4 linked regions of the Elephas maximus indicus genome follow. The protein of the gene in region 4 purifies or fractionates together with the protein of the main gene of each other region. This does not show direct contact. Links are inferred from orthologs where the notes say so. Each region holds a gene or a part of one and is shown on either strand. Other genes may lie near its edges.

The links.
Region 1: the proteins of CAMKV (region 4) and ZC3H18 purify together in Homo sapiens (affinity purification with mass spectrometry; 3 studies listed by BioGRID and IntAct, counting the BioPlex papers as one, with this or other methods). This does not show direct contact. The link is inferred for Elephas maximus indicus from reciprocal best matches to the Homo sapiens genes CAMKV and ZC3H18.
Region 2: the proteins of CAMKV (region 4) and GPATCH8 purify together in Homo sapiens (affinity purification with mass spectrometry; 3 studies listed by BioGRID and IntAct, counting the BioPlex papers as one, with this or other methods). This does not show direct contact. The link is inferred for Elephas maximus indicus from reciprocal best matches to the Homo sapiens genes CAMKV and GPATCH8.
Region 3: the proteins of CAMKV (region 4) and NOLC1 purify together in Homo sapiens (affinity purification with mass spectrometry; 3 studies listed by BioGRID and IntAct, counting the BioPlex papers as one, with this or other methods). This does not show direct contact. The link is inferred for Elephas maximus indicus from reciprocal best matches to the Homo sapiens genes CAMKV and NOLC1.

Annotation. Positions count from the first base shown.
Region 1 is NC_064839.1:53,895,721-53,902,706, forward strand, and holds the start of ZC3H18 (zinc finger CCCH domain-containing protein 18), read left to right. Parts: upstream 1-3,979; 5' UTR 3,980-4,179; intron 4,180-5,093; 5' UTR 5,094-5,157; intron 5,158-5,164; exon of another isoform or gene 5,165-5,345; intron 5,346-6,986.
Region 2 is NC_064837.1:51,005,687-51,013,669, reverse strand, and holds the start of GPATCH8 (G patch domain-containing protein 8), read left to right. Parts: upstream 1-4,968; 5' UTR 4,969-5,226; coding exon 5,227-5,271; intron 5,272-7,983.
Region 3 is NC_064834.1:53,751,076-53,759,079, forward strand, and holds the start of NOLC1 (nucleolar and coiled-body phosphoprotein 1), read left to right. Parts: upstream 1-5,000; 5' UTR 5,001-5,068; coding exon 5,069-5,188; intron 5,189-6,951; coding exon 6,952-7,007; intron 7,008-7,118; coding exon 7,119-7,261; intron 7,262-7,361; coding exon 7,362-7,492; intron 7,493-8,004. Other genes in the region: PPRC1 (peroxisome proliferator-activated receptor gamma coactivator-related protein 1), read left to right, coding at 201-924, 1,909-2,058, 2,162-2,228, 2,350-2,471, 2,719-2,870, 3,163-3,266. UniProt on the Homo sapiens protein: Nucleolar protein that acts as a regulator of RNA polymerase I by connecting RNA polymerase I with enzymes responsible for ribosomal processing and modification.
Region 4 is NC_064838.1:54,290,323-54,297,371, forward strand, and holds the start of CAMKV (caM kinase-like vesicle-associated protein), read right to left. Parts: upstream 3,005-7,049; 5' UTR 2,924-3,004; intron 1-2,923. Other genes in the region: uncharacterized protein LOC126063634, read right to left, coding at 6,407-7,049. UniProt on the Homo sapiens protein: Does not appear to have detectable kinase activity.

The sequences.
Region 1 (6,986 bases), on a different chromosome or scaffold from region 4:
AAACTGAGTCTTTTGTATCAAACCAACCCCACACCATTCTGCTAAAGACAACTATAAAAACTGGGCAAATACATGCAAACGCCAAAACATTGGGGAGCACCAGCATGACAGGAATCGGGGCAGCACTGATTTGGAAATGGGGTCTTTGCAGATGGAACTGGTTAAGGTAATAATAGGTCATACTAGAGTAGGGTTCGCCCATAATCCAATATAAGTGGTGTCCTTATAAAAAGAGGAAAAGAGACACAGAAGGAAGAGAGACACATAGGGAAGAACACCATGTGAGGACAGAACAGAGATTGAAGTGACGGGGCCACAAGCCAAGGAATGCCTGGGGCCACCAGGAGCTGGAAGAGACAGGAAGGATCCTCCCCTAGAGCCTCCAGAGGGAGCGAGGCCCTGCCCACACCCTAAATTCTGACTTCTAACCTTTAGAACTATGAGAGAAGATTTTCTGTTGTTTTATGCCCCCCACTTTATAGTTCTTTGTAACAGCAGCCCGAGGAAACAACTACAGTTAATCAAAGTTACACATTTATTTTTAGTCAGCGTTGGAGCCAAGAGTCAAATCCTGGCCTCCGTGACTAAGAGCCTGGATCCTAAAGGAGGTGGTTGGTGACTGAAAGTGCCTAACTCTCAGCAGGCTCTCAGGAATGGTAGCTGCCATCAATTTCTTTTTCTTCCTTTTTAAAATATATTGTCTAAAAATCTAAGGCTTAAAACAGCAACAACAAAACACAACAGTTTGTCCAACTACTGGTACACACATCGTGGATGAATCTCAAAAACATCGTGCTGAGTGGCAGAAGCCAGATACACACTACATGCATTCATGTGACACTGGGAAAGACAACTCAAAACTGTCATGGCAGAATACAGGGTTGGGGAATGACAGCAAGGGGTACCAGTGGACTTTCTATGTAGAGGAAATGTCCTCTCTCGATTGCAGTGGTGACTGCACAGGTATAGACCTTTGCAAAAAACTCATCGATGTGTGTTTTACCAAAAGTGGAGTATACCTCAATGGGGCTGATTTTTTTAAAAAGTCCCTTTTCATGCTGTCTCATTAGGGGGAGATCAATTACGAGTATACAGCAAAGTGTACATAAGTTTTTGTATGAGAGTCTGACTTGATTTGTAAACACTCACTTAAAACACTATAAAAATAAAATCTTTTAAACGTCCCTTTTCACCCCCATTTCTCATTCCCAAGGGGCAACTGTTTCAACTCTTTGAGTTCTGTCCTCTGGCCTTTTCCTCATTTCTAATAAAATATTCATACGGTTATTTCTTGACATTCTGAGTTTTGAAAACGTGTATCGACCTTTTCCCCCGGAAAAGGAAGATTCTGCTGTCTCCCACACCACCCCTCCCACACCCATCCTCCAAATATTTTTAAGTTCAAGTAAATTTTTACTAAATATTTAAAAGCCTGCTTTCTAGATCCCATCATTCCTCCTCCCCCTCAAAATGCCCTCATCCATGTCATAGCATACATCAAGGCATCATTCCTTTTTACAGCCGAATAATATCCTATCGTGTGGATATACCACGTTGTGTGTATCCATCCATCTACTGATGGACGCCCAGGTTGTTTCCACTTTATGGCTACTGTGAATGGTGCTGCTACGAACATTCACGTACAAGTCTTTGCATGGACGTGTGTTTTCAATTCTCGCAGGTAGATACCCAGGAGTGGAATTGCTGCGTTGTCATACTGTAACTCTGTATTTAATGTCTTCATTTATTCCCTCACACATTCATTCAGGGAACATGAGGCAAACATCTATGAGTACACTTAACGTCACTATGGCCAGACATATACATGTGTGGAACGAATGGCGGTGGGCTCACAAGAACCCCAATGAAGAGTCCTTCCACTGGAGGAGGAAGATGGGGTGAGGAGAGGCCTGCTCTGCTCCACACCTCAAAACCCTTAGTCAACCCCAGGACCGGTTACATAGTTTACAGGATCTGGTGTAAAACTGAAATGGAGGGCACCTTGTTCACAAACTAAGAATGTTAAGATGGTGGCAGCAGGCACTAAACCAAGCATAGCCCCTTCTAAGCACAGGGCCGTGGTTACCCCAGATTGTCGCTCCCAGAGCAAGCAGAGCAGATTTCCAACTTTGTCCAGTCTCTCTCCCTGATCACCCTCCCCATTCAACTCCAACTCTTCTGAAGACCCTTGTTGAGCCCTGCCAAAGCCATTCCCTCTGTCTGGAATGCTCCCCCTTCCTACTCCAACCAGTCACCCTCTTCATCCTTCAAGAGGCAACTGAAATGTTCATTTTTTAAAAGACTTCACTGCCATGTTTGAGCACTACTAATTAAGGGTTTCCCAGGTGGAGCCACGGGTTTGCTCAGGAGGAGCCAGGGAAAGAGCTCTTTAAAGAAGCACTACCTCTGCCCCCTCCCTTTTCTGCCAGCCTCCTCTCAGGTCTCACTCTCCTGCTTCCATTTTGCCTTTTTTTTTTTTTTTTAAACACCTGCATTGAGTCAACAGAAGACCTCAAATAATAGTTAAGAAGGCACCATTTTTTAAAAATTGTACTTTAAATGAAAGTTTACAGGACAAACTAGTTTCTCATTAAACACTTCGTACACATTGTTTTATGATACTGGTTAACAGCCCCACCACACATCAACACTCTCCCCTCTCAACCTTGGGTTCCCTATTACCAGCTTTCCTGTCTCCTCTGGCCTTCTAGTCCTTGCCCCTGGGCTAGTATGCCCCTTTAGTCTTGTTTTATCTTAGGGGTCTGTCTAATCTTCGCCTTAAGAGTGAACCTCAGGAGCAGCTTCATTACTGAGCTAAAACGGTGTCAGGGGGCCACACACTCAGGTTTCTCCAGTCTCTGTCAAGCCAGTAAGTCTGGTCTTTTTTGTGAGTTAGAATTTTGTTCTACATTTTTCTCCATCTCTGTCAAGGACCCTCTGTTGTGGTCCCTGTCAGAGCAGTCAGCGGTGGTAGCCCAGCACCATCTAGTTGTACCGGACTCCGTCTGGTGGAGGCCATGGTAGTTGCAGTCCCTTAGTCCTTTGGACTAATCTTTCTGAGAAGGCACCACTTTTGAAGAAGGTGTGAGTTGGGACTGGGGGGCTCATTCATCCTGCCTTCCCCTTATCCGCACTCATCCACAACCACATTCTTAATATCCCCAATTTACCGATAAGAAAACGGAGGCTAGATACGCTGAGTGACTGTCTCAAGGCCACACTGCAGTACATGGGGGAACTGCAACTCCGACATACACGCCCCCGAAGCTGCGCTGCCTGCCTGGCGCTCCCTCCCTGGGCTGGGGCATCGCGGCGGCGCCTGCAGGACGGTAACTGGATGCAGGATGGTGACCGGTGCGCAGTCACTGTCTGCTCAGTTCTCAATTAGCTTCTGGGCGGGCGGGGCTGCTCCAAGCCTCAGGTTACTCATCTTTGAAATGGACATCTTGCCCGCCTGGCTGTTCTGCAGATGGCAGTGATGATGGTCAACCCTGAGAGTCTGTGAAAAGTTCGTCATCAGTAAAAAATGCCCTGAGTCTCCATTCAACGTCTTCTGACCGGCAAAAGGTGAAATGTTAAAGCTGGTTACATTTGATAAGGCGAGAAAATATTTCATCCGAGGAAGATAGATTAACGTGTTTCCGCTTTGATATTTAGAATAAGATGTTTTCTTCCGAAGGCGTCAGCCAGCAAAACTGCGAGGCGGCGAACCGGGGATCGCCTGCTTCCTCCTGGAAAGCCGCGGCGCACTCGTCACCTGACAGGGCGCGTCACATGACAGCGCTCGCGGGAGCGTTAAACCCTATACGCAGGCGTTCTCAGGCGGCCCCGTCAAGAGCGCGGGCTCAGGGCCCCGCCCCGGGGGGCGGGGCGTCTTGACGGCGCCTGCGCCGCGACGGTGATCGGGTGGGCGCGGGCCGGGGGGCGGGGCCGCGCGGAGGCCGGAAGGAAGAGGGAGCAGGGAAGAACAAGCGAGGGAAGCCCGCCTGCCCCAGGACGACCGTCGCGGCCTGATGACGTCGTACAATGGCCGGCCCCCGCGGGTAGTGGAGCCCGTTTGTTCCGCCCGCGTCGCGCTTGAAGCCGGAGCGTCTGAGGAGCGGAAGGGCAGAGGGACGTCTACTCCGCGCCGTCCCAACTCCAGCGGAGCAGTGGCCCGCTCTCGGCGCTCGCGCTGAGGTGAGCGAGGCCCGAGCGGGCGGCTAGGAGGCCGGGCTGGCGGCGCCGGCGGGGGGAGGAGGAGGTCGCCTCGGCGGCGGCGGCGGCAGGCAGGAGCGTGGCGGCGGTGGCGGGAGCCGAGGCCAGGGAACCCTTCGCCGCCGTCGCTTCCGTGGAGCGCCCCAGGCTGCGCGCTCCGGCCGTGGGGGCAGCTGACCGAAGCGTGGCTTCTGGGCCCCCGGGAAGGGGGATACTGAGACAGGCACGATTCCGCGTTCCGTCCGCGGCGAGTCCCGGCCCGCGGGAGCCCTGGAACCCCTCAGAGTCTGGACTCCTCGCGAGCTGCCCTCGCGCCCCGGGTGGAGTTTATTTTCCTGAAGCTGTCAGTTCTCATCCGGGCATTCGCGTGGCACATGTTTGCCGTCCACAAAGGGAGGGTGAGAGGCATGCGGATTTGTCCTCCGGACTAGGCCGGCCCCAAGTGTTGATGGCTCTTTGGGGGATCTTTGAGCTCTTTGGAGCCACCTGGAACTTGCTCCCTCGCCTCGAAAGTGTGCACAGGTTGGACGTATTTGCTGTGCCCGAGATGCTCTCCAGCGTCTTAGAAATAGTAATGTACTTGTCTCTTTGATTTAGGACCCCAAAGGATTCTGGGCCCCTAGAATAAACTAACTGCAACTATGATGCTGGAAGAACCTAAGACTTTAAGACTTAACTAGTCTTGCTCCTGCGAAAACCTTAAGTTTTCCTGGTTACTTTGTGACAGCTGAGTTTGCTGGGCAGAATGGTTGATTATGTTAAGTGAACTTTTTTTTAACAAACTCATTTGCAAGACTAAACCAGTCCTCAGCTCCACTTGAGGGAAATGGAAGAAGGGACTATGACATCTGAACTTCAGTTTGGGGTGTATCAATGGTTCCTCATTCCTCCTTTAGGACTCACCTCTGTCATACTGCCTGTGGAATGGTCCCTTCCTGAGGCAGTGGTCGGGATTCCCAGGTGAGCCTGGACTGAGGGAGATTCCAACTTCACGCCCTGGGAGGGGAGTCTCTGCCTGATTACATTACAGTCTGAGCGTTTGAGTAGAGTCCAACCAGGTCCCAAAAGCTGAAACTACTTTCCAGTGTTAGGGGAAATGCTCAGACAGCTGAAGAAAGCTTTGTGGAGTCATTCCAGAGAGCATACAGGTAAGTTCTGGCTGTGCTCGTGTTGGAAGGGGTTTTGACTTATCACAGCTACAAATGATATCAAGGTGTTTCCTTATTTTTTCTTCTGGTGGTCAAATTTAGTAAATTTGGGTGATGCTATCATTGTCAACTATAGAGGAGTCAGTCTTTCGTTTTGGTGTTACAAGTCTGTAAAGTTATGAACCTGAATTTTATCTAGACAAACCAGAACTTAAGTATCCAGGTAGACACTGCGTTGTTAAAAACAGTTGTCCCAAAAGGTTATGTTTCTGTTTCATTGATGTTTCTTTGCCAGTACGTCTTTAGCACTCCTGTTACGGTAATGAATATGTAAGCCATGTGAGAAAATCAGTCATATTTAATAGTCATACTACATGTTTGACCAAAACTTGTCTTACCTGGCTTGGTAACTCACCTCATTCTCCAGACCAGGCTCTGAATGACTTCTGACTATTTCTGAAACTAACCCACCTTGAGGAGGAAAATTTGCTGCTACCAGAGAGAGCCAGGAGAGCGATCTGCAGGTCTGAAGATCACTCTGAAAGAGAAGTTCCCGCGTGCTCTGTGCTTTAGCAGCGCCGTAGGAAGCGGTGTGTGGCCTTCCAGGGCGACTGCTTGGAAAGGAGACCACTCCCTTTCTGTGACTGATTTTTGGTGTATTCTTTTCAAAATTAGGCAACTCTTTAAATTTTTTTTTCCCTGATGCGCAACAGGTACTTTCTTAAGTAACGAGATTTTGTCATTTATGCATTTATTCACCAAACATTCATCCAGCACTGCCTGCCGAATGGAGACACTATAGGGTGGCACATGTCACCTGCTCTCTGGGCAGGTTCACAATCTTGTGGATCAAAAGTCTGAAGGTTTAGCTGGTTCCCGGCTACAACCAATGACTGTCCTGACAGGGAACACAATGGAACCCCTGAGGGAGCAGGAGAGCAGTGGGATGCAGACGCCAAATTCTCGTAAAAAGACCAGACTTAATGATCTGACTGAGACTAGAAGGACCCCGGTGGTCATGGCCCCCAGACCTTTTGTTGGCCCAGGACAGGGAACCATTCCCAAAGCCAACTCTTCAGACAGGGATTGGACTGGACAATGGGATGGAGAGGTTTGCTGATGAGGAGTGAGCTTCTTGGATCAGGTGAACACTTGAGACTGTGTTGGCATCACCTGTCTGGAGGGGAGATGAGAGGGTGGAGGGGGTTAGAAGCTGGCAGAATGGACATGAAAAGAGAGTGGAGGGAGGGAGCGGGCTCTCTCACTGGGAGGAGCAATTGGGAGTATGTAGCAAGGTGTATATAAGTTTTTGTGTGAGAGACTGACTTGATTTGTAAACTTTCACTTAAAGCACAATAAAGATTAAAAAAAAAAAAAGAAGAAGGTTTAGCTCCAAACCATGCCGTGAGCCCACAATTCACGGTGGTTGTGTCAGAAGAGCAAACTAAGCAGAAATTGTGATTGTGGGAGTTAGGTAACACTTGTCCAAAGGACCCCATTTCATTGACTGCACCTAATAGGCCGCATATTTCACTTTCTTGCACCCCTACATATCGGTTAAGACTTGTTCGGATAACCCCATTTCATCAGGCACGCTTAATGGGCTCTGCATTTCTCTTCCTAGCACCCCAACATATCAGT
Region 2 (7,983 bases), on a different chromosome or scaffold from region 4:
GGACTGGGTGTTCGTTAGGCCTGATATACAGCTGTCATCCTGGAATGTCTCCACATCGTCATCCTGGGAATTCTCTTTGCTTCTTTAGTTGGTTAGATCCCTGCTTTCTGGATCTCAAGTCTCTCTGTTTCTCGTTTTACTCCTTCGTTCTGCTGTAAAACATCCCCTAATAGCTTCCAAAGAAGGGGTAAGTGGGAAGTAAATTTTCTTGAAAGCCTGCTGGTTGAAAACATCTTTTTTCTCTTTCTCAGTTGATTAATGGTTTAACTGGGTATAGATTTCTGTGTTGGAAACCATCCTCTTTTAGAATCTCCAGGGCATTACCCCCTAGTTTTCTCTGCTTTGGTGTTTTGGAGATGTCCAAAGCCATTCCAATTCCTTATCCTTCACATGGAAGGTATTTTTTTTTCGAGAAACATTTAGGAGCTTCTCTTTGTCCCATTGTCCTGAAATTTTACAGTGCTGTGTCTGGCACCAAGTTACTTTTAATCTGTGTACTGGGCCCTTCAGTACCAGAAAATGTTCACATGTTATTTCTTTCATATGCTAGTGCTATTTTTTTTTCTTTCCTTTCTGGAAATCCTACTATTCAGATGTTGGATTGATGCTCAAGCTCAAGTTTTCTTATCTGTTCCTTCCTATTTTCTATTTCATCCATTCAACAAATCTTTATTTAGCACCCACTAAGGAAACCCTGGTGGTGTAGTGGTTAAGAGCTACGGCTGCTAACCAAAAGGTCGGCAGTTCGAATCTGCCCAGCGCTCCTTGGGAACCCCATGGGGCAGTTCTACTCTGTCCTATAGGGTTGTTATGAGTCGGAATCGACTCAACAGTGATGGATATGTGCCAGTTGGGAGCCCATAGGAGCTCATAGGGGTGGTATGAGTTGGAATCAACTTGACAGCAATGGATTTGGCTTTGGTATAGATGTGCCAGTCGTTGTTCTGGGTGCTGGGAATATAGAAGTGAATAAAACTGAAAAAAAGTCTCTGCCCTTGTGGAGGTTATATTCTAGTGGAGGAATATAAACAGTAAGCAGAAGTAAGAAAATTATATGTTAGAAAGTGATAAGTACTATAAAGAAAAACAAAACAGGGGAAGAGGCTAGGGAGTTCAAAATATATAAAAAAAAATTTTTTTATATAAAAAAAATAAATATATAGGGCTCTGTAATTTCAAATAGGGTGATCAAAAAAGATCTTACTGAGAAAGTAACATTTTGAGTAAAGACCAGGAAATGAGGGCGAAAGCCCTGTGAATATCTGAGAAAGAATGATCCAGGCAGAAAGAACAGCATATCCATAAGCCCCAAAATAGGGCAGGCCGCAGCAGGAGCAGGTCTGGTGTGCCCAGAGAGAAGGGAAGCAGGGAGCATAGTAGAAGATGAGGCTTGAGAGGGAGGTGGTGGTGGTCAGTAGACTTTATACTGTAAATGACAGAAAAAGTCACTCGAAAGTTGGAGCAGAGGACTGACGTGATCTGACTGACTTTTTAATAGGATCACCATAGTTGCTGTACAGAATGCAAGGGACAAAGGTGAAGCAAGGGTAACACTTAGTAGCTACTGCAGTAATTCAGGAGAAAGTGAAGAGTGAAGGTGGCTTGGACCAGGGTATCTTTTTACTCTGTTTCCTGAGAGATTTCCTCAACTTTATTTTCTAACCTTTCTATGAAATTTCTCATTTCTGCTTAAGAATTTTGAATCTCCAAAAATCTTTCTTTATTTCCAAATATTTTTTCTTTTTTGGCATCCTATCCTTGTTCCCTACTACGATCTCTATCTCTGTGGATATTGATTATAACTCTCTTGATGTTTCTTTCTGTTCCTTTTATCATCTCTGTTGTTGGTAGGTGCCACTGAATCAATTTCGACTCTCAGTGACGCTATGTGACAGGGTAGAACTGCCCTATAGGATTTTCTGGGCTGTAATTTTTATGAGAGCAGATTGCCAGGTCTTTCTCCCTGGATGGATTCCATCTGCCAACCTTTTGGTTGGCAGCCAAGTGCTTAACCATGGAGCAACCAGGGCTCCTTCATTATCTCTGGCGCCTCTGAATTCCTTTTTGCTGTTTTCGTGTGTGTTTTGAGGGAGGGTATCTATGTCTTTCCTGTTACAGATTTCCCCTCAAATGTCTGGTAATCCTTGGCTATCCATTTATACTTAAGAAACGCATTGCCATCAAGTCGATTCCGACTCACAGAGACTCTACAGGACAGAGTAGAACTGCCCCACAGGGTTTCCAAGGAGCAGCTGGTGGATTTGAACTCCTGAACTTTTGATTTAAAGCTGAGTTTTTAACCACTGTGTCACCAGGGCTCCTTAATACTTAAGAGTGAGGCATTAAAAAGCTGAGTCAAAGCTCTGTGTAGATGGGGCTTGCTGTATTATGGGCTTCTTTTTATGGTATTTGGGCAGGAACTGACATTTTTGTTGACAAATCTCCTCCTTCCCGTTGTTGGTGCTTGTACATTTTTTTTTTTTTCTCCCTAAACAAGTCAGTTTCCCCAGGGAGAGATTCCCTTGGTCTCTCGCTGGAATGCTGGCTTTTACTGTATCCTCCTGTTTTCAGCTTGGCACCCCCTACCTCAGCTGTGCTAGACATGTCAAAACCCAGTCTTCTTGGTTCCAGTTTTCTAGAGGGTAACCTCCAGCTTGCTCCCCTAGAGAAGGAATGGAATTTAGGGTCTAATTGCTCTTAAACTGCCTTGTAACCAACCAATCCTCCTGTTTTCAGCCTCATCCACACTCTCACCTTAAGAGTTACCTAGCAATGACTCCAATTCCCAAGATTTTCTGGTGTTCTTCACGAAAATCAGCTTGTTTCCTGGCTTCCCCTACTCCAGGACTGTCTCTACTCTCTCAAAGCCATTTCCACTTATCTATGCTCTCTACCTTCTAAAATTTTGTTGACATCTCTTGTCTGTTGTTGTCCCCCTCCTGCTCTCTTTGTCCATGTGAGTTTATACCCTTCTCATCCCTTTGTCATTTTAGTGGGGTTTGGAGAGAGAGAAGTAAATTTATGATGTGTACCTACGTGATTCAATCTGCTACTTAACCCTCAAGTCACTTTACGAAGTATGAATTCAATGTGTTCTGCCTCCGCTTAGATGGGGATGTCTTTTCACTTCTTAGAGCTGTTTCATAATTGGCCTGGGGGTCAGGTAGGACAGACGGTAACAAAGGAATAGAAGATCAAAGGAATAGAAGATAACCACACTTCCTCCAAACAATTACATTCCATTTTATTTTCTCAGGGCCAGGGTAAGGGCTGCTTTTCCATTGTGTGATTTCTGTGCTGTTGCTATTTTCAAAAACAGTCCCAGGTTCTGCTCAGTGCGACTCTTCTCAGCCAAACGAGAGACCAGAGGTGGGAGAGTAGAAAGGCGCCTCATTTGGTTGTATAAAGAAAGGAGACAGTTAGGGCTGCTGCCAAGACTGCTCAGGGAGGGCAAGGGGGAAGGTTACTTTTAAGGGGTTTACAAGTAGGAAGTTCATGCAAGTTACATCAGCAACTCTTAATCATACTACACAGGCATCATGTGTTCAGAAAATGGTTAAACTCTACCCAGAGGCGGGGAAGTTACTATGTATGAGGTCCAAAAGGTTATCCTGAATATCAGCATGGCGCCTAAATTGGTTTCTGCCAATTTTCTCCAGTTTGGGGGAAGCAGTTAAGGAGAGGGGAACCAGGATTTAAATGTAAAGCTGGTGGGAGGAGGCTTGTCAAGCAAAGGAACCAGGATTCTAATGTAAAGCTATGGGTGTGCCAAGCAAGCTGCTTGAAAAGGTGGAATTTTCTGCAGCCTGGGGACCACTGTCTTACTCATTGGACTGCTACCCTAAAGGATGGCAGTTCGAATGCACCCAGAGGTGCCTCAGAAGTAAGGCCTGGCAATCTGCTTCTGAAAGGTCACAGCCTTGAAAAACCCAATGGAGCAGTTCTATTCTGCACATGGAATTGACTCAAAGGTACTACTACCACCAACAGCTCTTTTCAAAAGCAGTGAAGTCCTGCCACACCTGTGTGTTTTATGTACTTTAGCTAAGGGTACTAGAGGGCTGGGTGGGATCCTCAGGAAGGTCATAGGATTGATAAGTCTGATTTATGACCCACACAGTCAGTGCAGAGCTGGAGGGTTTAAAAAAAAAAAAAAAACCAACCCAAGCCAGCTGCCCTTGAGTCATTCAACTCACAGGAATCCTACAGGACAGAGTAGAACCCCATAGGGTTTCCAAGGAGTGGCTGGTGGATTCAAACTGCTGACCTTTTGGTTAGCAGCCAAGCTCTTAAGCTTTTCACCACCAGGTCTGGAGGATACAGATTACCAAACTCAATTTCTTTATTTTAGAAAATGGAAACAGGCCTAGAGAGCTTTAGCTGAATTGGATCAACTGTTCAGACCTCTGAGAAATAATACTTCTTTCAAACGATTGCTTGTAAATGCCAAACTCTTTCCATTCATAAGGCTTTTTGGTCTAATATTCCTTCTGCCTCAAGACCTTACAAGGCTGCAGGCCCCCTTCCGCTTCTCAGGTCAAAGGCCATTTCAGAGGTCATCCTTCTCATCATGGCACCCAGTTTTTTTTTAAATATACTTATTAATAGCTGAAGTTGTGTAACTGTCAGTTATCTGACTTCCCCCATGGAACGTAAGCCCTTTGAGAGAAGGCATCTTTTCTGGTTAGTTCACCGTTTGTCCTCAGGGCAAACCAGGATTTGAAACAAAGTAGAACGGCTCTAAAGCCCGTGCTTTCCGCCGCACTATATTACGTTGTTATTTGATTAATTAAATAGACGATGGACCTCTGCATACACAGGGAGCCAGGAGGGTAAGAAAAGGGCTGTAAACCGGCAAGTGAGCAGCTGGAAAAACAGCCCGACTCATCCCCACCGTGTTTCCTCTGACCTTTCCCTCCGGAAGCGCTAAGCGCCCCAGGGCGCGAGTCCGCACGCGTAGCCGCTGGGGTTGCTCCGGGCAGCGCGCTGAGCGGTGACGCGAGGGAAGGTTCCGCCTCCGAGGCTGGAAGGCGCCTGCGCCGGCGGGGTTTCCGTCAGGACGGGCGTTCTGGCTCACTCCCTCCTTCCCTCCCTCCCTCGCCTGCGCGCGTCCGGTGGGCGTCGGAGGAGGCGGGGAACGGGGGAGGGAAAGTAGAGGGGGCGGGTGTCGCGGTAGGGAAGGAGTGAACCGGAGAGCGTCGTTCTGAGAGGAGTGAAGGCGGCAAGATGGCGGACCGCTTCTCCCGCTTCAACGAGGACCGAGACTTTCAGGTAAACACCGGCGCAGCCGAGGACCCGGGGAAGGCGCCGGCCGAGTCTGGAAGCTTCTTCATCCTTGGCTCCCAGATCTGTTTCCTTCCAGGCTCTGCTTCGGCTTCCGAACCCGCTAGCCCTCCTCCCACCTCCGTTTTCTCAAGGGGCCTCCCAGCTTGAGGCGAGGCCGCATCTTCTCCCACCCGCATTCTCTGACTTTAACTCAGGCCGCTGGATCTGCGGCTTCGACCTGTTTGGGCTTCGGCTGTCGGAACCCCAGCCTGGGGGCAGTGGGGGACGTGCGCCCTGCGGGGCGGCCGGGCCTGTGGAGGTGCAGGGCTGACTCCCAGGGGGGAAAGAGGGTTGCGCTGGGAGGATGGGGCGAGAGTTGCTGAGGCCAGGGCTTCGGAACCCCTGGATTTCGCTCATTCGAATCTTCTTGGGGCCCTTCTCCCGTCTCCCCTCACTATAATAATCCTTTTCATTGCCCATTTTTCCATTTCTTCGCCTGCAAAAAGGGTGCCTTAGTTATCAGACGCGTTCTTGGTTAATCAGACATTGAGATTTCACTGGCCATAAATGTTGCTGTTGTTAGGCCGTTCATTGGTCTTGGACAGCAGTTTAAGTTATACGACTGTGGTCGATGTAAGCTCAGTCAGTCCCAAATCCTACCTAGAAAGATTTGGGGGGACGTAATGACAAATGGGCTTTCTGAGCATGTGAAAACTAGTGCCAAAAACTCGATTTTTTTTTCTCCAGTTGCAGATGTTGGTGTGGAAAAATGGCAAGCATTATTGGGGAAAAACTAAGGCCAGTTTAGAATAACTTGTCCTCTGACTGTTTAAAATACCTTACTGTCGAGTATTGTTAGTGTGGAAATCTCCGAAACTAAGAAAGATTTAGTAGAGGTTGACTGTTTCTAGGGTAAAATACATTCTGAGTGTCAAAGAAACCACTGCATTACTACCGCATACCCTGGCAACAGCAATTTGGGTCAGGGGATGAACATCAGAACTCAAGTTTTTTATCCCGCTGCGGATCTTCCTTAAAGCAACGTGAGAACTACTCTAAATGTGGTTCAGAAGGCCGTTTGAAGGATTTGAATTCCCTGAGGTGAATGGATTAGTAAACAGGTAAAGCTGTTTAGCAGTTTTTAAACGGACTCTGTTAACAGTCTAGTACATAAAAGCGTTGCGAGAAGTTTTGCAGCGGTAAGAAGGGGGGGCGGCTGTTGAAAAGCCCTGTGATCATGCGCCTGCTGTACAGCTGCAGTACACAATACAGGATCTCAGGGTGTTTTAAGGATATGATACAGGCCCAGGGAAGTTGGAAACAGTTTATATGGGCCATTTGATTTCTGAGGACGATTACTTCTTTACAAACACCATAAAACATGAATAGGCTGCAAAGTATGTGGACTTCATTGGTAATTTTTAAAGAGACAAATTGATAACACCCTGAAATACTTTTTAGACGTGAGAATTTCAAGGTGACCTGATAAAGCTGAAAATAGATAAGTATGGACAATTTTTAGAGGAAAAATGGCTCTCAACCACAGAATTACAACAGACTTAAAAAAAAGAACCCAGAGTTTGCAGGGGCTTGAAAGAAGGTTTTGAAAACCATGGGTAGCAGAGTGTGAATGCTGTCACTTGAAAAAATTGAGGCTAGCCTCTAGTTTTTCAATACCTAGTTTCTAAGAAGGATGATCCTCTGCTGTTTTAGTTGGGTTTATGTAAAATCTCCTTTTGGTTGCTTGGTAGTCCTTTGAAGATACTACATGTATTTTAAACTTATTTCCTGCTTTTATGTTGAAATAACCAACTCCTGTATTGGGTCAGGAGCCCTGGTGGCGCAGTGGTTAAGCGCTTCGGCTGCTAACCAAAAGGTCAGCAGTTTGAATCCACCAGCTGCTCCTTGGAAACCCTCTGGGGCAGTTCTACTGTGTCCTATAGGGTCACTATGAGTTGGAAAGGACTCGACAGCAAGGGGTTTGGTTTTTTCGGTTTGTATTGGGTCAACCAGGGAAATGTTTTTTTTTTTTTATTTATTTAGATGTCCTAGCGTTTTGGTTTAATAGGCTATTGGGAGTGGAAATCTTCTAGACAGTTAGGAGATGTTAAAATTTTTGTAAACTATTGTGCTAACATTTCTCAAGAGAATTCATTTAAAAATACATAAAGTAGCATTTTCTCTGTTTTAATAAAAGGAAAACAGATTGACTTTCATGAAGAATGTCCTTTGATTTAAAGTTCTTGGGGAGGAGAATGTAATGTAATAGAACACCCTTGTGTATGGCGTATCTGAAACATTTTTCAAGTTCAGGTTATTTGAAATTAAATCTAGGTTATAGCCTACCCCCCCAGAAAAGAAAAACTGTGGCCTCCTTTTCAGGTTTTTAAGTGATAAATGAGGCGAAGTCACTGAATATTGTGGCTACTTAGTGATAATAGGCTTGAAAAATACTTAGTAGGTTTTCAAACACAGTATATAGGTCCTGTTCTTTAAACATCTTCTGATAGCACTGGAAATTTCCTTGTGCCATCTTCTCTGGAAAGTTCTAAATGACTTACTGTTTTATTTGCCTTTATTTTGGCAAGATAATTTAGAATTGTAAAATTTCACTCTTTGGCAATTTACCATCAAGTGTAAAATGTTGGTGAGTTTGTTGTCTCTTGTATGGAGTCAGAGAGATGGGCTTATGGATTTTGTGGCACTAATTTCAAAGGT
Region 3 (8,004 bases), on a different chromosome or scaffold from region 4:
CTGGCTGGGTTGTCTATTGCTGGTCCCTGATACGGGGAACACAGGAAGGAGCAGTTGCAGCAGTGGGAGAAATTGGGCTGTTGACCGTGCTTGGTGTACTTTCTGAGATGAGGTGGGGGTCTCTGGAGCCTGTGTGCACAGTATTTGGAAATAGAGAATGGGATCTCACCCTGCTATCTCCATCCTCCCTCCCCCCACAGGGCTCACCCCTCCAGCTACCCCTCCCCACCAGTTATGGAAGCCCCTGGCTGCTGTCTCACTGCTGGCCAAAGCCAAATCTCCTAAGTCCACCGCCCAGGAGGGAACCCTGAAGCCTGAAGGAGTTACAGAGGCCAAACATCCAGCTGCAGCCCGCCTCCAAGAAGGGGTCCATGGCCCTAGTCCAGTCCATGTGGGCTCTGGGGACCATGACTATTGTGTCCGGAGCAGGACCCCCCCCAAAAAGACGCCTGCCTTAGTCATTCCAGAGGTGGGCTCCCGATGGAATGTCAAACGCCATCAGGACATCACCATCAAGCCTGTGTTGTCCCTGGGCCCAGCTGCCCCTCTGCCCCCACGCACAGCTGCCTCCAAGGAGCCGCTTGATCACAGGACTAGCAGTGAGCAGGCAGATCCCCCAGCCCATTGCCTTGCCCCATCTGCCTTGCTGTCCCCTGAGGCCTCTCCCTGCCGGAATGACATGAACACTAGGATTCCCCCTGCATCCTCAGCCAAGCAGCAGTCAATACGCTGTTATCGAAAAGCCTGCAGGTCAGCCAGCCCCCCAAGCCGGGGCTGGCAGGGCCGCCGCGGCCGCAGCAGCCATTCTATCAGCTCTGGGTCCAACGGGACCAGCGAAGCATCTTCTTCCTCATCCTCATCGTCGTCTTCCTCATCCCGTTCCCGGTCCAGGTCCCTCTCCCCCCCACACAAGAGGTGGCGAAGGTGAGCTCTGGTGGCCTGTTAGGTCCACTCTGTTTAGGAGCTTCATGAACTCCTCTCTGTGGTTTTCTTTTGAAACCTTTTGCACATTAACTTTGATACTTTTAGGCACTAAGGTTTCTGTTTCTGTCTTTGGCGTTTGTCGTCTCCTTTCCTAGATTGTTGAAGGAGACAAACTGGGAAGAAAGCTTCTATCCTGTGTTGGAGTATAGGGTATCCCTGAGGTCCCCTGCTTCCTTGAGACTTGCCTTGGGGAAACTCTTACGGTTCTACCTTGACCATGTTGATCCCCTCACATATCATATTGGCCCTCATTTATGGCATTTTCCTGGTGGTATGTGGGAAGGCGGGATAGTGAGTTGTTAACAGGAAATAGTCCTTCCCTTAATCATCTATTGAGGAAAGAGTTTGGGGCAGTTTCTTTGGGTATCACTGTGGCCTCATCTATTTCTTGGCAGTATCTTTACTCTTAATAATGAACCCAAATTTTCCCACTTAATGAATTCTTGGTTTTTGATGGTGGTAGATGCTTTCAGAAATGGCCCCTGTACAGGTCTAGCATAGTCTTCTCCCCTCAATGCCATGGTCACAGCAGTCCTGTGAGTCATGGGAAGGGAGCAGTAGGCCAGAGACTCAGGTCTGGCCTTAGCACCACAGATAGCTGGCTGTGAGACCAAGGGCCCACTCCTATTCTCTCTGGGTCTTTATCTATTTTTTTTTCTTTCTGATTGTTAAATATTTTTCAGTTTTTAATTGCACAATTGAAGATAAGTATGGTCTTTGTCAAAACATACCAGATATATGTAAAGTTCTCTTGAAGGGCCTCAGTTTGTTCATCTGTGAAGAAAAGTGCTCTTCTAGACATCTGCTCTGCTTTGCCTCTGGTCCTGAGCCTCCAGACAGGGAGGCAGCGCTGGGGCCAGGGTGAGGTAAGTGGAGTATACCTGCACTACTCCAAGCATTCCTGCATGCCCCTTTATCCTCCAGGTCCAGCTGCAGTTCCTCTGGGCGTTCCCGAAGATGCTCTTCCTCTTCCTCCTCCTCCTCATCTTCCTCATCGTCCTCATCCTCCTCGTCCAGTTCTCGAAGCCGTTCCCGCTCCCCATCCCCCCGCCGGAGAAGTGACAGGAGGCGACGGTGAGCATGTTTAGGGAGGCAGTGTACCTGGGATGCAGACACCTGAGAGTTGAGTCTTGGGTTGTCTTGTGTCTGGGGAGCTGATGAAACCTTCTTCTGTCAGGTACAGCTCCTACCGTTCGAGTGACCATTACCAAAGGCAGAGAGTGCTGCAGAAGGAGCGTGCAATAGTGAGTAGAGGAGCAAGTTATGGGAGAAGGAGGAACTTCCCTCTGAGCCATGAGCTCAAAGAGCTGAGTGTAGCTGTGATCCTGGCTCATGGCAGGTCTGTTTTTCCTTGCTCCAACATAGGAAGAGAGAAGGGTGGTCTTTATTGGGAAGATACCTGGCCGCATGACTCGGTCAGAGCTGAAACAGAGGTTCTCGGTTTTTGGAGAGATTGAGGAGTGCACCATCCACTTCCGTGTCCAAGGGTAAGCTTGGGCCCTAGGGTCAGGATGTTCTTTCTGCCTCATTCAGCTACCTTGATGTTTCTTCATCCTTCCCCCTTGCTTTGGTGTGCTGGGCAATGTAGAGCACCTTCATTTCTACGATCAGAGGGTTGGTTATTTGGGGAGTGGGAAGAAGCACCACAGACCCTCTTTGTACCCTGGTGCTGTCACTGCTCCATGGTATGTGCCCAAATGGCCATCCCAGCCCTTGCCTCACCCTCCCCACCAGTGACAACTACGGCTTCGTCACTTATCGCTATGCCGAGGAGGCATTTGCAGCCATTGAGAGTGGCCACAAGCTGCGGCAGGCTGACGAACAGCCTTTTGATCTCTGCTTTGGGGGCCGCAGGCAGTTCTGCAAGAGGAGCTATTCTGATCTTGGTGAGTGCAGGGAGGGCCTGAGGTTTTGGCACATTTCATCGCCTCCCTAGAAGGCTTCCCAAGCCTTTGAGTGTGGGGCTAGGTAGACTTAACCTTCATCTGACATGTGAAGAACCTGAGGGGTGAGATCAGAAGAGAAATGGGGTTCTCCTGTGTCTCTTTGACTTAAAATCAAGGCAGTTTTAACTCCGTTCATTATTGGGATGGGAGGTGGCTAGCCATTTGAGGACCCTGCGGTTGGGAAGCAGTGGTCAGAGACCTTTGAACCCTGACATTTGGTCTTTCTTTATAGACTCCAACCGGGAAGACTTTGACCCTGCCCCTGTAAAGAGCAAATTCGATTCTCTTGACTTTGACACATTGTTGAAACAGGCCCAGAAGAACCTCAGGAGGTAACCCTGGGCTCTCCTCCCCCCCTTTTCTTTGGAGGTGCCCAACCTCCTCCATCCCCCTCCCCCACTCTAGGGGAGAGAGCTGCTAGTGAAGAGATGACTGTTTTATAAAGAAATGGAAAAAAGTGAAATAAAAAATGTGTAAAATCAGATTTTTTAAAGGGTATTTGTTTTTTATAACAGGTATTGAAACAAGATAACTTGCATTCCTATGTAAGATGGTTAGGGCTGAGGGGTTCCCCCAGTGTTCGGAACATCTTAAGTCACTATGCAGACTAATTAATAAACATGAACTAGTGAGAACTCTCAAGTGTGATTGTGTTTCTTTCTTTGATGCTACTGCCAAACATACTTTTCCTTTCTGAACATAATCAGGGATATACTCATGCCATTAAGTTCCTAGGACCTTTCTCTGGTCAGGTACAAAATTCTACTTGACTGACTCCTGAAGTGTGTTGTCTATGAAATCAGCTATCTAAGGCAGTGCATCTCACACTTTAAAGGGCATTTGAGTCATCTGGAGATTGTTTAGAATGCAGATTCTGATTTTGTCCTTTTGGAATTGGGCCTGAGATTCTACATTTCTAACAAGGGGATATTGTTTCACCAAGGATGTAGAGAGAGCTCACACTTGTTGCAAATAAAGGTTTTCTCATTCACCGTCTGTTTTGTTCACCATTTTAGCTTGAGCACAATTCTTGACACACTGCAGGCAGCCAGATGTTTAAAGAATGCGCGTATGTGGACAGATGTGGCCACCTTCTCTCTGGGGAATAGGACTGCTAGAGTTGTATCTAGGGGAGGGGAGTGCCTCTTTTGAGAAAGAGGAAATCCATGAGGAAGTGGATTCTTATCCTTCCTGAGGGGATGCATTAAGAGGAAGTAGTCAAGGGGTAGTGCTTCAGATTGAAGGGATTGTTGTCTGCTAATGTGACTTGAAATACGGCAGAAATTGGAATTTCCTTGGCAGACCTGGGCATTGATATTGGGTTTACTCATGACAAAGGGAGGGGTTCCCCAGTTCTCCCACAGAGAGTTCACAGTGTGAGCTCTGACCCAAGAGATACAAGGTTTATTTTCTGGACTAGGGGTTGGAGGGATTGCTGTGATCCAGAGGTTTGGTGCACTATCCTTTTTCTTTCATGGAGCTGACCTAAGGCTGAGTAATTGGGGTAGAGAGGCCTATGTGTTAGAAATCTGTGGGAGGTGTAGGGCAAGTCATGACAGGAAAGTTGTGGGGATCAACACTTTCATCACCACGGATAACCTGAAGGACAGATGGGAGTCTGGAGGCTAGGGTGGTATCTGAGAAAGGGCCTCCCTGAGTGTTGGAGACAGTGAAGATGAAGAGTGAGAATCCACCTGTAACGAGAATGGGGGCTGTTGGGAAGTCTTGTGACCAAGTCTAGACAGTAGCACAGGTCGAGCCGGCCAGTCCACTCACCAGCTGAGGCGCGGGAATCTGCTCTGAAAGCACCTCCAGCAAAAGGACAGCGCGCGGGAAGCCCAGAGTTTTCCCGCCACGGCAGAGGGCGTGACTCCTGACGTCAGAGCTCCCCTCCTACAAAGTGACGGCCGGCGGGCTCCGCCTTTACCATGATGGCGACACGCGTAGGACCGGAAGAAATTTTTAGATTTCCTCCTTGACCCTACCTCGGAGGCGGAGGTGGGACTGCTATGTAGAATACCACACTTCCGGTATGCGCCCGCGCGGCGCAATGACGTCACGCGAGCCCTCCCCCTTGTGTTCCTGAGTTTCTAAATCGTGCTGCGTGGGCAACCGTAGTGACGCGTGTATCCTGGAGGATGGCGGACGCCGGTTTGCGCCGCGTGGTTCCTAGCGACCTGTATCCCCTAGTGCTCGGCTTCTTGCGCGACAACCAACTGTCAGAAGTGGCTAACAAGTTCGCCAAGGCGACAGGCGCTGTGAGTCCCGGGCTTGGGGCGCGGGTTGGGGAGGGATGACCACAAAGCTCTGGGCCTTGACATGCTTAGGGTTCCGGGTAGGGAGGTATGTGGAATCCGCCAGTCGAGTGTCTGCAGGACCTTTGTGCCGAGCTCTCGGCGGTGACCGGGGAAAGTCCAAAGCCTCGGCACTTCCTTTTTCACGAGGTTTGACTAGATAGCGCTGAGTCTTGTTACATTTTCCTGGTGAGCCGTGCAACGGCTGCAGTGTGGGGCCCGCGTGGTCCAGGTCACGTGGGCTGGCGGTGTTCTTGGGGGAAGCTTGGTGTCCAAGGGTATTGGTGGCGCTTTTTAGGCTTTTCGTTAGCCGAGGGAAAGCGTGAATTGACCTGTAATTCGCAATTGTCCAAGACTTAAAGACGAGTGAAATTGCTTCAGAAATGAAAGCAAGGGTTTTTGTGAGTAAAGAAGAAAATGAACGAAAGTAGAGGCAGGGTTCTGCTCTTAGTGATATTGAAACAAAGGCTGAGTATATCATGGCTCTACCAAGCAGGCATAGCAGTGGGCTTAGAGTTTCGGCTTATGGAATCAAAGTTAGGTTTAAGATCAGGCCCAGAAACCGGGGCAGTTTGACTAACCTCTCTGAGTATTTGTAGTTCTACATCATCCACTTGATAGAATTTTTGTGAGTTTCAGCCAGATGATGTATACAAAGTGGCAATCCTAGTGCCTGATGTGCTGCAAGCATCAATGAGTAAAAACGGTTAATATAGTTATGGTAACTTAGATGCTCCAAACATGTGTAGGAGAAGGATAACCAGGAATATGACAGATTTGGAATCCACATCTCAATGAAAGCAGACATGACTGCATGGGAAAACCCCTGCAGAGAAGGGTAGAATAGTAGTCTTAAGCATGTGTAATAACATGATTGAGAAGGTAGGTTTGTCCTTTGTGGCAGAATCAGTCTTTGAAAGGAGGTGATTAGATCAGCTTCAGAAAGAACTTCCTTAAGCTGGGATAACCTGCCTTGTAAGTTGATATAACTGCCCTTTTTTTTTTTTATTGGATCAATTTTGTATTGACTGTTAGGGGGACTGCAGAAAGTGTTTCCGCAATGGGTTGGATAGAGTTGGGTCTTTCAGAGTTAGAATTCTTTGGTCTTATGAGACAGAAACTATTAATCGTGGAGAGTTTACTAAGGATTGGATGCTAATTCTTTTATATGCATTATTTTTTATCCTATGATCAACTTAATGAGGTGTGTAGTATTATCTTCATTTTATAGAGAAGAAAACACTCTCAGAGATTAAGTTCAGTTCTGTCCTGTAGGGTTGCTATGAGTCGAAATTGACTCGACTGGTAGCTTATTTACTAATTTTCTTTTGGAGTCTTGTTTTCAGCAATTTGGTAGTACAAACCAAACACAGTAAACATTTTCTTGTATAAATGTTTGTGCCCTTGTTTTATGAGTAAGGATACATTCCTAGATGACACATTGGTAAAGAGAATGCATGTTTTGTAAGGTTTTGATAGTGGATAAATAGGCAGGAAGATAGATAGTACCACAAACCACAGGAATGCCCCAAGTTTTGGGAAATATACAAATGGAATTTTTTTTTCCTTAATGTGTGCAAGTAGGAGCAGTCTTATGAAAATTTAATGTTTGTACTAAATTTAGTCACAGGATTAGTAGGTAGCATTTAAAGCATAACGGAACATTTGATCTCTCCTAAAATAACCAGTATAAAATTTTGCTTGGCTCTTTTTCTTTTCCCCTACAGACCCGTCAGGATGCCAACGCCTCTTCCCTCTTGGACATCTATAGTTTCTGGCTCAAGTAAGCTTTCCCTGTTCCACATTGTCTGTATTCTCCCACTGGGCGATTTGGGCTGTGTTCCTTGGTTTGGGAAGGTCCTGGTGCCCCAGAAGTTAGCATCATTGACTTTAGCAGGTCTGCTAAGGCCCCAAAGCGGAAGTTACAGGCAAATGGGCCAGTAATTCAGAAGGCTAAGAAGAAGACTTCATCCAGTGACAGCAGTGAGGATAGCAGCGAGGAGGAAAAAACCCAAGTGCCTCCAGCTAAAAAGGCTGGTAAGGCAGGGCAGGGGGCTTGGGGTGGTGGTTCCAGGAAAAGGATTTGTAGCCTTTCTGTTCCACATGGCTAACTCTTACTGGTGCCTGTGCTGTTCAGCTATAGCTGCCAAGCAGGCCAGTCTTCCTCAGCATCCTGGAAAGGCTGCAGCCAAAGCATCAGAGAGCAGCAGCAGTGAAGAATCCAGTGACGAGGAGGAGGAAGAGGACAAAAAGAAGAAGCCTGTCCAGGTTTGCAGTTTTGGGAAAGGAAGGGGTTGCTTATGGAATTGGAAAGAAACCTAAATTCTTGACTTCTAGCTTGTGACCAAGAGGTGGTGCTGGGTGTGAGGCAGGTGACTGTGAGGAAGAAAATCTAGTGACTTTCTGGGAGGTAATAGAAGTATGAGGTCCGGAACGGATGTGCGAAGATGAAGTTGGGCTTCAAATCTGGAGGTATTTTTGCTTCTCTGATTGACTGTCTGGGGCTCTGACAATAAAAGAGAGAGCATTTAGTAGATAGGTACTGGAAACTCTTGGCAGGGGCCAGCAGGGATAGAACTGATACGTCAAGTGGCTGAACTTTTGTTTCTCATTAACAGTTGGTTGCCTTTTTCATCTGCTTTTCTCCTCAGCTTTCCCTTTCTCTTGCTGCTCCATTATCTGTTAAAAAATAAAAAGGGCTTAGAAAGCCCTGTACACTAGGATGTCCTTTGAGTACCCAGAAGTACTTGCTGATTGCCCTACTTGTGTGTTTCCTAACA
Region 4 (7,049 bases):
CTACTGCAGCCTTAGGTGAGTCTGGCCCAGGGAAAGCCTGAGTGGGGCAGAAGCCAGCTCGAGGCCCAGATACCCCACATCAGGGTCCGGCCCCTTCCTCTACTGGGGTCAGCCTAGCTCAGACCCCACCTTTCCTAGTCATTTACAGGAGTTTCCCTTTGCCCTGGCCCCTGCCCCATGGGGGACTCCAGAGCTTGCTGTAAATCTAGGGAGTCCAAGAGGCACCCAGGAGGCCTCCAGCTGCCTCCCAACGACTATGGGCAACACCTCCCGATTTAGTGGCAGCTGTGAATACCAGCCTGCTGGCACCCCCTCCCCTTCCCTGTTCTCTGTCTCTCTCTGGGCCTGGGGCAAGGTTTCCTGCTGCAATGGACAAACCCAGGCCCAAGCCCTGCGTGTCTACAGCTGAGGCTTCACTCACAGGGCCAGGGGAGGTGGAGGCCTTACCTGAAGAATCTGTGTCACGAGGTAGAGCCAAGGTTCTAGCCCACCATCCAGCAGCTTCAGGAATTGGGGAGGGAGGTACCCTGGGGCATGAGGCTCCAGCTAAACCATGGATGACAATGGTTCCTGGGGCTTACTCTCCCCCCTCTAAGTAGAGGGTATTGGGGGGGGTCTCTTCAGTCTTGGGTGTGGGTATTCAGTCCAGTGTTGCCACTAGAAAGCTCAGCCCTCAACCTGCTGCCCTTAGAGGGACTCTTTGAACCCTTGCTTCCCTGTGGATGGGAGGAGGGGAAATGCAGAGGAAGGCACTGGAGTAAAGGGTTGCTATGGTGATGGAAGTTTTAAAACATGGGGCAGGGGAGGAGTGAGGTGTTGGTCAGGCCTCCTCTCCAATAACTCTGAGACTTTGGCCTGGTTCCTTCCCCACTGGGAAGGTTCTGTGACATGGGTCCCCATCAAGGAAGGGGATGTGGGAGTACAGAGAGACTTTAGAAAAGAGAGAGAGAGGCAGGGACACAGGGAGACAAAGGCAGAACCTGTGATTGAGGGGGAGCAAGGAGGCCACAGAGAAAAAGGGGCACAGGCAGAAGGGGGAGGGAGGTGAGTAGGGGGCTCTGAGGGGCCTATGGGTGCCCAGCAGAGCCCTAAGGCTTCCATAGCCGTGTGCTCTGAACACCTGTGCCAGAAGCTGTCCCTGGTGCCTGGATCTTTGGCACCAAACCCTCCTATATCCCCTGAGCTTGGTGTGGGAGACAGGGCCCTGGGGAAGAAGTAAACTGTTGCAGCCCCTCAGCCAGGGCAGCCCTCAGTCCCTCTCCCTGTCATCAGAGTAAGGCAGATCTAACATGTTGAAGGCACAAGGGGTAGGGGGAGGGATGGAAATGAGGTTTGGAGAACTGGCTGCCTCCTTTTATGGCCCTCCTCTCAGCTGATCCAGCTCTGCCCCCCACCCAGCCAGGCCCCCCCCCCATCTGCTGTCTTCTCCAGGCCTTGAGTCCCTAGGGCCCCTCCTGTAACAGCCTAGTCCCCCTGTAGTGGATCCTGTCAGGAGAGGGCTAGGAGTGGCACCCCAAGCAACTCAACTGGATAACAACTGCACAGCCCTCCCTCTATGCCTCAGCTTCCCAGGGCAGAGATCAAGGACTCAGTGGCTTCCTCCCAGGATGGAGGACTACCTGCCTGCCTGTGAATGGTGGCCAGGACATGGGGCCAGAGAAGAGGGAAAGTGGCAGACATGTCAACAGCCAACCGTAGGGCACCTGGGTGCCCATCCCAAATGCAGTAAAAAAAAAAAAAAAAAAGGGAGAAGAGACCCTGGCCCCACCCTGGGATTAGGCTGGCACTGAGGGAGGAGGAATCACAAATTTCCCAGTTGAGGTAATGAGGGCCCAGCAGGCAGCTGGAGCTGGCAAAAATCAACTGGGGGTGTCAAGTCTCTGCTGGTGGGCCTGGGGGGTGCTCAAAGCCTAAGGCTGGGAGAGGGGAGTCAGGACAGGGGCTGGAATGCTACGGGGTCTGAGCTTTTGATGAAAGACAGAGGCCCTGCTCCCTAGGAGGGAACCTGGTGGAACAGGCTCTGCCCCGTGGGAGTGGGGGGGGGGGGTGCGACAAAGGCAGTTTGGCAGAGCTGTGGGGGGCTGGGACTCAAGAGCCTGGGGTCTCTTCGAGACACTACAGGCTCGGCTCACATTGTCTCACCCCCCGACCCTCCACCGCAGGGGCCCTGCCCCTCACCGTGGTGCCACCTTGACCCCCTTCCCCAGCGCTCCTCGCCTCCGCTGGCACAGCACACACATGCGGGAGGCACACGTGTGAGCACCAAGCCCCGCATCCCAGCGGGAACATGTGCCACCCCCACCCCGCACGTGGGACTGTGCCCCAGACCCCCGGCTGGCCTCCACGTCAAGGCTTGGCAGCTGGAAGTAGGCTGGGGGGCCGTGGTCCCCAGAGAGTTGGGGCCTCCTTCCCCACCCCGCGGCAGCCCCGCCCAGCCCCCTACGGGTTGTCTCCAATAAAGAACTCTCCGTTGTCATGGAAATTAGTGACTGCTTAGCGGGAGGGAGGGGGCCGGGGGCAGCTGGGAGGGGCTGGAGGCAGCTCTGAGAGCTGGGAGGGACGGCTCTACCCTCGGCCCCCACCCCCGGGAGGCACCACGAATCTTCGAGGGTTAATGTTTTCACAATTCGAAGCCCAGCGAGACGGACTAGGGTGGCGCGGGGTATTAGCCTGTACTTAAGTCGGACAGGCCCCATCTTCCCCAGGGACCCCCAAGCCGTCCAAGGAGACAGGGAACTTTAGATCAACCCTGCACGCCGCCCCCGGATCTGCAGAGCCCGCGCGTTCTAGCCCCGCCAAGACCCCGCGTCCTCGCCGCGCCCCCGCGCATTCTGCGCCCCGAACCTCGAGCCGGCGGGACTCAGTCCCCCAGAGCCCCCCAACGTGCGTTCAGGAAGCCCCCCCGGCCCGGCCCGCTCCCCACCTGCAGCGCCGGTCCGTCACGGGGAGGAAGCGACCGCGGGCTCAGCTGGGCGCCAGGCGCTCCGGGGGCGGCGGGCAGAATCCGCTCCGGGCACGCGGGGCAGACGCGGCGCCAGCTGCAGCCGCTTCGGCTCGCGAACCTCTAGCATCGCCAGCCGCTAGCCGGCATCGGATTCGCACCCCGGGCCGGGGGCGGGCTGGGGGCGGGGCCTCCCTTAGCCAGCCCCGCCCCGGGCCCAGGAGGAGCCTGAGGCCGGGATCTCACGCGCTGGCCAGCAGACGCGGGATGGCAGCGAAGCCCGTGAGCGCTGGCCTCCCTAGCCCCGGCCGGGCTCTCAAATGCTCCTTTAGGCCCTCAGACTCCTGACCGGGCAACAAGGGCCGAAGGGAAACTTCCTATGCCCATTGTAAGAGGCAGGGGTTGGGTTTGGGAGGGAGCCTGAGGCCTGGAGCTGCACAAAAGTCCCTTGACAGGCAGTAGTCCCCAGGGGATGGGGCACTGTCCAGCTCCCCAAACCTGACCGAAAGGGCAAAACCACGTGGACAGTCGCTAGAGCAGGCTGCTTCACAGACTGGCATTGCCTGACTAGGAAGACATGGGGAGTGTGAGTGGGTTTTCAGTGTGCAGCATAGTTAGAGCCCCAACTGTGGTGGCAGAGCTTCCTATCCCATCCTGCCTCCCAATCCTGCAAGGCCAAAGTCTTCTCCATTCCCAAGTCCCAACCAGGGTGGCTGGTTCAGTCTGCACCCTCCTGTGTGGCACAGAACTTCCCAAGCTGTAAAAGTCACCTACAATATGGTGTGGATTCTGCTTTCTTTCAAGTCTAATCAACCTCAAACATTTCGTGAGGAAGAGCAGCATAAGAGACCTGGGAGAACAGTGGCACGGAGGTGCCCTGCCAGGCTTGACCCCTGTCTGGAGGAAGCTCAGAACTGCAAGCAAGAAACTTTCAAGGAAGCCTTTGGCCATTTCTTTGTACCTTGTGGGAAGGCAGATAAACCCAGTGCCTGAACCGCCACTCTCACAAGCCCTGAGGATCATCCTGAAGGCCAGACCTAGGCCTCACAGTGCCTGGCACTAGGCTCAACCCCATCCCATTTCACCCCTCCCAGTGATTCTTCTGACCTGGCCCTAGTAGGACAGAGTTATCCCCAAACCCTCACCCATGTCGAGTGGTTTTCCCTAGCTTACCCAGTGAGACTTGATTTCCCTTGCACGGTTCCCCATAGATGATGGCAGGAGGGATTGCCCAGGTGAGGAAGCCAGGGCCAGGGCTGTGGTTGCGGCTGGAAGGCTAGCCTAAGGAATGCCTCAAACAAGGCCCCTCAAATTCTTCCTCCAGAAGGGGTGTCAAAGAGCCCTTCAAATCTTTCCCTGGCTTTGGGTTACCTCCTTCAGGCCTCTGGGCTCTTTGGGTCTCAGTCCCAGCACCAGCTTTACCACTGGGTCAGCATCTCCTGGAGTGCTGGGGATCTGCAGGGCAAGTCTGGCTTCTCATCTCAGTTTGGTCAGTTAACATCTGCAGAATGAATGAATGGCCTGGCACTCAGTCCTTCCTGTGATCTGCTGACTGTCTGTGAAACAATAGGTCTCTGAGTTGTGTGGTGCAACTGAAGCATGTCACACATGTTTCCTACCTTTGCCGAGGTCATGGCTATCCAGGCAGTCAGGAGTGGGAAGCCTAGGGGCCAAGGAAAAGCTGGAATGGGAGATTTAGATGCAGGGAAAAGGTTGACTCCCTGGAGCCCTGCTGCTGCTGGCAGTACTCCACCTCTTCTTGGTCCTGTGCACACACCGTGTGCGTGTGGGTGAGAGCACATGGCAGGGTGTATGAGTACACGTGTGTGTGTGTGCTCTTGTGCTGAGGGAGATGGCAACAGCACAGTGTGTGCAGTGGTGCTCAGGGGCACGTGTGTCTGCATTCTGTGTGCACCCAGGCATGCTTGCTGGCACGTGTATGCGGATGCTGTAGCTGGCCCTGGAGCCACTGGTCCTCCCTGCCTCCCTTCCTGACAGGATTCTGGAGGCTGAATCTGGGGGAGGACCATTAGGGTGGGACAGCAGGGCATGGAAGAGGCTGGACCATGCCCAGAGGCAGCCAGGGGCTGTGATGACCCTACATGGTTGGCTGCTCCCAGTACCCCCACCCAGAGCAGCCCCTCACAAGTATGTAGACGAGAACCTAGGGTTGTGGCTAGGGCATGGCTTGTCCCATCAGCCTCCAGGCAGGGAGGCACATGAAGGGAAGGGCCAACTCCAGTGTTTTGGCTGCAACCTCTAGCTGCCCTCCTGGTAGGGCGAAGGGGTAGCAGCAACAGCTGAACACTATTCTCTAAGCTCTTCCAGGCAATGGACCGGGCTGATGCAGAGCTTCATTCCTACCCACATTCAGAGCCAGATGGAGCCAGGAGCCATTGCTTCTAGCCACCCTACTGGCCAGAGGGGTGGTAGGAGTCCCCGCAGCCCCAGGCAGAATTTGGGACAAGAGCAGGGCAGTTAGCATTGGCATTTCCCAGTAGCCTCTATGAGGACCCTCTTGAGGAGGCCTCTGCCTGACACCCTGCAAACAGAGGCTGCCTTGGTTAGGGGACTGAGGAGAAAAAGGGGGCCCAATGTTTACAAGTCTGGCTTGTGACCAGAGAGAGACAGTCAGGGTGCCAGGACAGGGTATGAGCCTCCATATCCACTCTGGGCAGAGCAGAGCCTCATCCTTCAGCTCAGGTTGTACCTCCCACCCATGATCCAGAACTTATCTGCTCCCCTCCTGCCCTGGGACACCAAAGGCTGGCACTCCCATACCCTCACGCTCTGGCTGGCCAGCAGGAGCCCCTGCAAACCCAAAATGGAACTCCAACCAAGACCCAGATAGCACCTGCATCACCAGGCCAGCTCCCCAAGAAGCCCAGACTCTGACATGGACTTTTCCTGGGGCAACAAACACTCCAGGTCCCCAGTTTTCTTTGGAACTGCTTGGTGGTTGTTCATGTCACTGGCCTCCACCCCCAGGAGAGGGCCCAAGAAGTGGGGTAGCAAGCATCTTTCCTCTAGAGCTTGGGGAGTGGGCTCCCCCACCTTCATCCTTCTCCCCCCACCCCATCCCCATTGTGACTCACTTTAGGCTGTGTGGGTTATTACATTATGTTTGAAATTGCCATGGCAACCAACTGGCAATCAAGAGTAATTGCACTTGTCACCAGGGCAACAGGGCAAAACCCACACCAGCCACTCTCTGTGGTTGCCCTTGGGGTGCAGTAAAGGTCAGGCTAGACCAGAGCCAATGTCAACCAAGGGGCTTGGAGGCTTCCTGAAAAGGGTGGGATTGCCAGGGCCCATGGAGTTTGTGTGCAGAGGCAGGATACGCCTTGGAAGTGCCAGGGTCTCTACCTCCAACCCCACGCCCAAACCCCTATTCTTCCCTTCACCACCCTGTGCCCAAAACATGCTACAGTGTTCAAAGTAAGCAGAACCATAACTTTTATGCGCTCACAGATGGTACTTATAGATGGCCCACGGGCCCTCCTCCTCGTACTCACGACGGCTGAGCCACAGGCTCTGGAAGGAGTCCCGGGATGCCATGATAGAGCCCCCAAGCCAGGCAGCGACAGCACGGTGGGGAGACCCTAGTACGGTGGCACGGGGGCCCAGCTCCTGTCTCAGGCGCTCAGGAAAACCTTTCAACAGGGTGCTGCCACCATCCAGCACCACATTGGCCAGCAGCTGCTCTTGTTGCTTGGCTTCCAGTTGGCTGATGCTTAGGAGGGCCAGCTGTGGGAGGCCCGGCTGGTTGAGGCCTAGCAGGTTGGGCTGGAAAAGGGCCTCAGGGCAGCGAAAGCGCTCAGAGCCCAGTGTGATGACCTGCTTGTCTGGGAGAACAAAGTCCACACAAGCCTGGGCCTGGATGCTGGCCATCTCTGCTGCCATATCCATAGCCACATAGCAGCTGGCCTCCTTAATCTGGTTGACCAGCCCTGCCTTGGGCAGTGAGTGGCCACCTGCCAGCAGCAGCTGAGCCAAGTATTCAGTGAGGTCATAACCAGCAACGTCCAGCTGGTAGGTGTCAATTGGGGCCAGGTCCCCAGTGAGGATGGGTGCCACATAGGAAGTGCCATGGCCACTGCCGAGCACT